Linked DNA regions of Danio rerio. The protein of the gene in region 1 purifies or fractionates together with the protein of each later gene. This does not show direct contact. Links are inferred from orthologs where the notes say so. Each region holds a gene or a part of one and is shown in the gene's direction. Other genes may lie near its edges.

Evidence for each region. Proteins that work in one complex are often made in the same cells at the same time.
Region 2: the proteins of slx4 (region 1) and sumo1 purify together in Homo sapiens (affinity purification with mass spectrometry; 3 studies listed by BioGRID, with this or other methods). This does not show direct contact. The link is inferred for Danio rerio from reciprocal best matches to the Homo sapiens genes SLX4 and SUMO1.

What each region holds. Positions count from the first base shown.
Region 1 is NC_133197.1:27,531,225-27,535,225, forward strand, and holds the end of slx4 (structure-specific endonuclease subunit SLX4), read left to right. Parts: intron 1-2,078; coding exon 2,079-2,348; intron 2,349-2,677; coding exon 2,678-3,050; 3' UTR 3,051-3,501; downstream 3,502-4,001. UniProt on the Homo sapiens protein: Regulatory subunit that interacts with and increases the activity of different structure-specific endonucleases.
Region 2 is NC_133181.1:10,603,269-10,607,414, forward strand, and holds the start of sumo1 (small ubiquitin-related modifier 1), read left to right. Parts: upstream 1-1,346; 5' UTR 1,347-1,448; coding exon 1,449-1,460; intron 1,461-2,226; coding exon 2,227-2,298; intron 2,299-2,440; coding exon 2,441-2,518; intron 2,519-4,146. UniProt on the Homo sapiens protein: Ubiquitin-like protein that can be covalently attached to proteins as a monomer or a lysine-linked polymer.

The sequences.
Region 1 (4,001 bases):
TTATCGACAATTTTTTAGACAGTTGATATTAGCTAGGATCAAAGAAACGTTATCTGACTAACAACGAGCAGCTAAATATGTCTGGAATAATATTCAAAGGCTTTTATTTTCATAAACGGTGCGGATGTGAATGCGACTGAGTGTTCTGATTGGCTGGAGTAGAAGTCTCACGTCAGCACGTTTTAAATGTGAAGGCACTCTTTCTGGCAAGTTCCCTTCTGCGTTCACACAGAGCAGCATTTCGGCAAATTACCGGTAATGTTACATCTTCACTTTCCGGAAAATTGCCGGAACGAATTTACCGGTGTTTTCAAAAAGGGCCTGTTCACACATGAGCCCTTTCTGGAAAATTGCTGGTAACTTTCTGGAAAGGTCTGTATGTGTGAAAGGGGCTAACAATGCACCTAACAAGAATGGATGTATGGGGAAAATATCGAAGTTGAAAACAAAGGTTGATTTTTTTCTATAACTTTGGCCATGACATTTAAACAGGTCACTTAAGTGCAGTTTGTGAATGATCTTAGATTATCCGGTGATATGGTCTGCAGACCCACAGAGATGTACCTTTTGCACCAATGCGTCCGGCTGTAGTTTCTGAATCTCCTAAAATGTCTGGGATGCAACTTTTGCTTTCACTTTCTAAAGTTGCCGTTATTTTTATGCGTTTTTGCATAACCTTTTCGCAGCTGACTGCACGAGTACGGTCGCGAGAGAAACAATAAATGATTATTTAGTAAACGACTCAACTTGATTTATTTGACCTTGTACTCGGAGAGAACAAAATAACATCTATACTTGCTGCAAAATATTTTATACACCATTAGAAATGGTTGATCAACTAATTTGTCTTTAAATAATCTACATTTTTTTTTTCTTGTCATTATTATAATTTTTAGCAATAATGTCGGTTTTATTGATTTTTTTTCTGTTATTTATTTCTCATTTGCTGTATGTTTTAATTTAATGATGAATTTAATGAAAATTAATGAAATTAATGAATTTAATATATTACATATACTTTATACATATCTAAAATGCTTTAGCAATGCAAAATGTCATGCCAATAAAGTAACTTTAGAGAGAGAGAGAGAGCAGCCTGTGTATCTGTAAGTGGGTGCACATGGCTACTGAATAGCATAAAAGTAACACAAATAGTGGATTTCTTTTATTTCAACGGCCTTTTTAATAACTCTTACCCATTGAAAAGAAAAAGAGTATAACATTGTCATAATAAATAAAAAATATGGTTAAAAATCACATTACTTTTTGTTTTCATATGTAGTTGACCATTTACAGTTGAAATCAGAATTATTAGCCCTCCTTTGAATTTCTTTTTTTAAATATTTCCTAAATTATGTTTAACACAGCAAGGAAATTTTCACAATATGTCTGATAATATTATTTTCTTCTGGAGAAAGTCTTATTTGTTTTATGTCGGCTACAATAAAAGCAGTTTTACAATTATTTAAAACAGTTTTAAGGTCAAAATTATTAGCCCCTTTAAGCTATATATTTTTTCGATAGTCTACAGAACAAACCAACGTTATACAATAACTTGCCTAATTACCCTAACCTGCCTAGTTAACCTAATTAACCTAGTTAACCCTTTAAATGTCACTTTTAGCTGTATAGAAGTGTCTTGAACAATATCTAGTCAAATATTATTTACTTTCATCATGGCAAAGATAAAATAAATCAGTTATAAGAAATTAATTATTAAAACTATTATGATTAGAAATGTGTTGAAGAAATCTCCTCTATGTTAAACAGAAATTGGGGAAACAAATAAACAGGGGGAGTAATAGTTCTGACTTCAACTGTAAAAGATGTGGGTAAAATATGTGTTTCGATCTGGTTACCACCGTAAGTATATTTCAAACCTGTGGGAAGCACTGCCTTTTTAACTTTCAATACTAGTCACATTCTAGAACAAAATGAAACTATTTATTTACTATTTATATCCTTTCCCCTCCCCTCTTTTTAAGGACTCATAGTATTAATAAACATTCATCTAACAATCAGGCTGTGTAATAGGTGTGTAATATTTAGTAAACTGAAGCTGGAACTTTGATTTCCAGGTTTGGCGTGCGTCCTCTGCCTAAGAAGCAGATGGTTCTGAAGCTGAAAGAGATCCATCAATACACCCACCAGCTGCAGAGCTCTGAGTCTGAGGACGAGACCTCTGGACCGCGGCGGCCTCCGATAGCCTCCAGCTCAAAATCACTCTCCTTTAAACAACCTACAGCGCCCCCTGCTGTCTCACCTGTCAAACTACCACCAAGAGAAGAAGAAGAGACTTTATCAGCATCTCAAAACTCGAACACATCTTCCACTGCAGAGTCCGAGAGGTACGGCTCATTTCTGCTGGTTACATTGTAACATGAAATACTGTTTCTGGGCCCAACGCTCTACTCATTTGAATTAAGAACACTCTCTCAATAGCTATTCATGACCACTGTTAAGGCTGTGATAACTATGTGATAACTATAACGAAAACAGTAAAGACATCACTCTAAAATATAAGCCAATATGGTGACCAATATGGTGAGTTTGGTACCAAAATCAAAACTTTTGACAACCCTAATCTGTTTATGTAACCATAATTATATTAGGGTTGTCAAAAGATCGATTTTGGTAAAATCAATACTTTTGATTTTCACTTTTTCGCTCATTCCAGGTCGAACCCAGAGCTGTGTCTGTCTGAAGATGAAGACTCGGACACTGAAGGCATCACAGCGTCTCAGGCTGTCGTGCGAGAGAAGGACAAACTCCTCGCAGTCCGTCAGTTCATCCTGTCCGATCCAGAGCTGTACAGTCGAGTGTTGCAGTACCAGCCTCTTCCACTGGCGGAGCTGCGGGCCAGCTTGAGAGCTGCAGGTATCAGGTTAGCTGCTGCTAAACTATTAGACTTCCTGGACTCTCAATGCATTACGTTCAGCACGGCCAAACAAGGCAAGAGCACAACTTCCCGTAGAAAACGACGTGTAAAAACCACAACTGCTGGAAGAGGGAGGAAAAAAACAACTAGGCCCAATGGGGGAGTCGCGTAAGGGCTGAAATCAAATAATGTGATAAAAGAACGAAGGAAAATCAGAGGTTGTAAAACAGGGATGTCCAAACTCGGCCCTGGAGGGCCGGTGTCCTGCATAGTTTAGCTCCAACTTGCTTCAACACACTTGCCAGGAAGTTTCTAGTATGTCTAGTAAGAGCTTGATAAGCTGCTTTAGGTGCATTTGATTAGGGTTGGAGCTAAACTCTCTAGGACACTGGCCCTCCAGGGCCGAGTTTGGAGACCCCTGTTGTAAAAAAAGCTCAAACTCAGGATCATAAAGCTTCCAATGAAAGAGTTTACATAAGAACTCATTGGGGTTTTTTATTTATGGGGCCCGCTTTGATGTTTATTTTGTACAGTGGTTGACGTAAATAAATTACTTTTTAATGAATTTAAATGAATGTTTGGATAATGTAAATAAAAGACATGTCTGTCACGTTTTTATATAATAGTTGGTACTATTGTTTTTTTTTTTGTGTTCTTAATTTCATACCGTGATTTAAAGTAAAGTCTCTTTGAGGCAGAACAGGGGCCTCATGTATCAACGCTGCATACGCACAAAAACTTTGCATACGCCAGGTTTCACGCTCACGTTTGGATTTACTAACGATGAAACTAATGTGAGAATGTTCGTTGGTCTGCGCCAACTTCATGTCTAGCGTACATGTACTTCTTGTCTACGTTTGTTTTATTTCCATTGGCGACTCCTAGAGGCAGTTATTTTAAATTGCACACTGCAAAGTATCGCACCAACACATGTGAAACACATTGCTTTAAATTTATAACGGTCCCACTTTATATTAAGTGGCCTTAACTAATATGTACTTACACAGGAATTAATAGTTATTTACAACGTACTTATTGTGTAAATACATGTATTTACTGTGTACTTATGCTTGATTAAATACATGTATGTATTTACATCTGTAATTAACTATTGTAATTACAT
Region 2 (4,146 bases), on another chromosome or scaffold:
TTTCATGCACCATCACCTCGTGTTGATTTTCAGTTTTCGAGTTTTATATTCAAAGTGTGTAGAGACAATATTTTGGATAATGTCATATTCCAAATAATGAGGATGATGATGATGATGATGATGATGATGATGATGATGATGATGATGATGATGATGATGATAATAATAATATACTAAACAAAAGTTTTGTAAAAAAAAAAGATATTTAAATGTTTTAGACAAAAAGATGAATAAACAATTATAATATGAAATATTATTTCAATTTTAAATATCTGTATTGTTGTATGTAAATATGTTTAATATTCCAATGAGAGTTCAGAATTTGTTATGGTCAATTTTACTTGGTGCTCTATGATTAATAATAATTCTGCTTGATATTTCTGTTAAATACACAATACATTCAGCTTTCTAAAATTCTCAGAAGAAACTGTATTTGAAATAAAATGTTCAGTAACATTATACAGATTTTTTATATTACCTTTGATCCACTGAATTAGTCTTAATGTCTTTTTTAAAATCTATGGCATTAAAAGTTATAAATACATAAAATAAACGATTTATTGTTTTATTTATGCAGGAATTTGCGAATTTATTAACTAATTGATTTTTTATTTGCATATTAATTTATTGTTTTATTTATTTATTGCTTTATTTATTTACTTTATTTATTCATTGCTTTTTATTTTTTATCTTTTTAATTTGTGTATTTATTTTGTACATTTGTTTATTTATTTAGCATGTTTATTTATTGTTTTATTTATGCAGGAATTTGTCTATTTATTTATTAATTTATTTGTGTATTTATTTATTTATTGTTTTATTTATGCAAGAATTTGTATTTATTTATTTTTTGTGTATTTATTTATTTATTGTTTTATTTACACAGGGATTTGAGTATTTATTCATTTATTCGTGTAGTTATTTATTAATTATTTTATTTATGTAGGAACTTGTGTATATATTTAGTCATTTATTTATTTATTTATTTGCGTATTTATTTACTGTTTTATTTATGAAGGAATTTGTACATGTGTTAATTAATTTATTTATTTGCGTATTTATTTATTTGTTGCTTTTGCAGGTTTCGTCCTCCAGAGGTGTAGTGTAGTTGTCACATTATTTTTGCACTCTAATATTTCGTGACCAAAATACTGATGTGTTTTTTTTTTTTTTTTTTTTGCAAAATACGGGCCTCCCTATGTTTTACCAATAGCAACATCGCAGATGGCGATTGGAGCCAATCAGAAAGAGCGTGGTGAGAAAAACAACGCTCGTTGGGTCATCGACCCAGTGTCATAGAAAGTCCAGCCCCTTTCCAATGACGTCAACGGCGCTGTGTTGTGGGTCTGCTGGTAGCACTATCAAAACCTCTCATTACTGTACATAACACTGTATCGTTTAAATCAAACAATCTTGATCTACAGAAGGGCTGCACATTGCGGAATATCATGTCAGACACGGTGAGTCTAAACCTGTGATGCTGAATCGAACTTTCATGAGAGCAGACGAGAAAGACGGACTTATAGAAAATGAAAATAAGAGGGCCCAGCTTTTAGCCTGTCTAGCTGACTGTGGTTTGGAAAGTATTTTTGATAAAAATGCTTGAGTGTTTTTAACTGTGCATAGTTTCTGGTTCTCGCAATTTACACATTAGTCCAATTTACTGTGTTCACAAATGCCAAAAATATGTGAATTTCTTCCTCAAATCGTCCAATTAGCATGTGTGCTAGTTAGCTGCTCTGGGCCCTGAAAGCAGAGTTCATAATATCTTGAGCTGATAGACCATGCTGAACATTTGAATTAGTTATTAATTGTTGATTTTTTGATATGTTCATTAGGATTATTCGTTATTTGTTCACGTTAGTTTGTGTTCGGTTTGTGCTCGTATTAACAGCTCGCGATAGAAGAGTAACGTTAGGTTGTGTGTTTACATTCAAAGCACACACACACACACACACAGCCTAGTGTTTAAATGATAACAACACTCACAATATTATTTTATATATAATATATATATATATATATATATATATATATATATATATATATATATATATATATATATATAATTATAATTTATTAAAATCGGATCTACCTTATTTTATACGATCTTCAGTCAATATTTTATTGAATTCAGTCCCAAGATATTTTTTTAATTCATTACATTAAATCTGATAAAAAAACAATATGACATGCAGTAATCGAATGCTTGTTTTGTTTTAATAGGAGACCAAGCCCTCAAGTGATGGAGGCGAGAAGAAGGATGGAGAGTACATTAAACTCAAAGTGATCGGTCAGGTGAGCAAAAGCACTTGTTTTCTAGGAAATGCAGGTTTTCATATTTAAACCCATTACTGTTTAAAACCAATCCAGCTGTTCTTTTATAATGAGATATATGAAAAGATCTGAACAGATTTGATGATTTCCTTTCATTTCGCAGGACAACAGTGAAATTCACTTTAAAGTGAAGATGACGACACATTTAAAGAAGCTGAAGGAATCCTACAGTCAGAGACAGGTGAGTCAGTTTTTCCATTTATGAGGGATAACGATAAATCTACACTACCATTCAGAGGTTTTGGGGGGTGGGTAGGATTTTTAAAAAACGCACTAATGCTACTTTTATTCAATCAAAAATGCATAAAATCTGTATTATTGTGAGTATTGTTACAAATAGAAATACACTAACACTGTAAAAATCTTAACTGTGATCAAATTAATGCGTCATTGCCGAAACAAAAAACAATGTTTAAATAGTTGTGTATGTTTCAGTTAAGGTTCCTGAGGTCTCATTTATAAAACATTGCATAGAAACTTTCCTAAAAGTGAATGTACACCAGAATACATTTTTATTTATTTATTAATTATTATGGCTTTTATGATGATTTAAAGTGCTTGAATTAAGTCAATATTTAAGCGAAATGTGTTTACTTAAAGCTGCGCACATTCTCCCGTCAAGTTTGTTTTTTATAGATCATAATAACCTGTATAAGAAGTGGCGTACACGTGTTTCCACCCCCAATTTTGTGTATACCATGTTTATAAATGAGACCCCTGGACAGTTTATTCTCTCTTTCAGATCAATTATTTGAACCATGTTAGTTAAAACATAAAACGTCTGTAATGATCATCTAAAGGGGGTGGAGTAACAATTTATTAAGAGGAAATTCACATTAATAGATGCTTTTAGTTTTGGTACAGAAAATATTGTTACACACAGGATATATATATATATTTTTACCCATTATGAGTTTTGGTAATAAACATTTAGTTTGCTTGCCTCGGCTTTTCTTTATCTCTGCTTTCTTAAATGAAACGCAACGACACAAGTATTTACTTTCTTTTACAAATATTATTGACAATATTCCATATCATACTCTCTGCTATTATAAATAAAACATAAACCCATTATATAATGACATGCAATCTAATTCTGAAATATATATATATATATATATATATATATATATATATATATGTATATGGTCAAAGATGTAAAAAATATATTTATATTTATCTGTTGCTTATAAAGTTACATGTTTCAGAAATTACATTTTACAAAAGTATATTTTTGTATTTAAATAAATTACTATTACAGTTTTATAAACACTCAAACCACTGCAGAAATGTTGCATATATCATATACACTAAAAAAAAAGACTTTTGCGGCTTGTTCAAAGTACTTATATATAATTAGCTGAAACTTGTGTTCTTGAGGACAACTTAATTGTTTTAAGTTAAGCCCACTTAAATTTATGAAAAAAAATTAAGTTTAATCAATTTATGATGGGCCATGTAAAAGAAATGTGTGGACCATAGCATTTTTACAGTATATTAGAGATCAATTTTCTATACAAGTTAAAATCATTACCTTAAATGTTTGTTTTAACAGTTGCTGGAAGTGTGTAAACAGGTTTTTGATTGTAAATGTAGCTTTCTTCACGAGTCACTGCTGCGTTTAAAATGGCATAAATGTTATGGGAGTGCACTATGGAGATAGCACAGTTGTCAATTTGAAGTTTATAAACTGAACTGTAATAAGAATAACTTTAATATAAAATGTGAACAAGACAACCTTTAATGTTTTTAAATGATTCAGAGTATTTGTGTTCAAATGGACAAGGGCATAGGGTGGATGATTCAGAA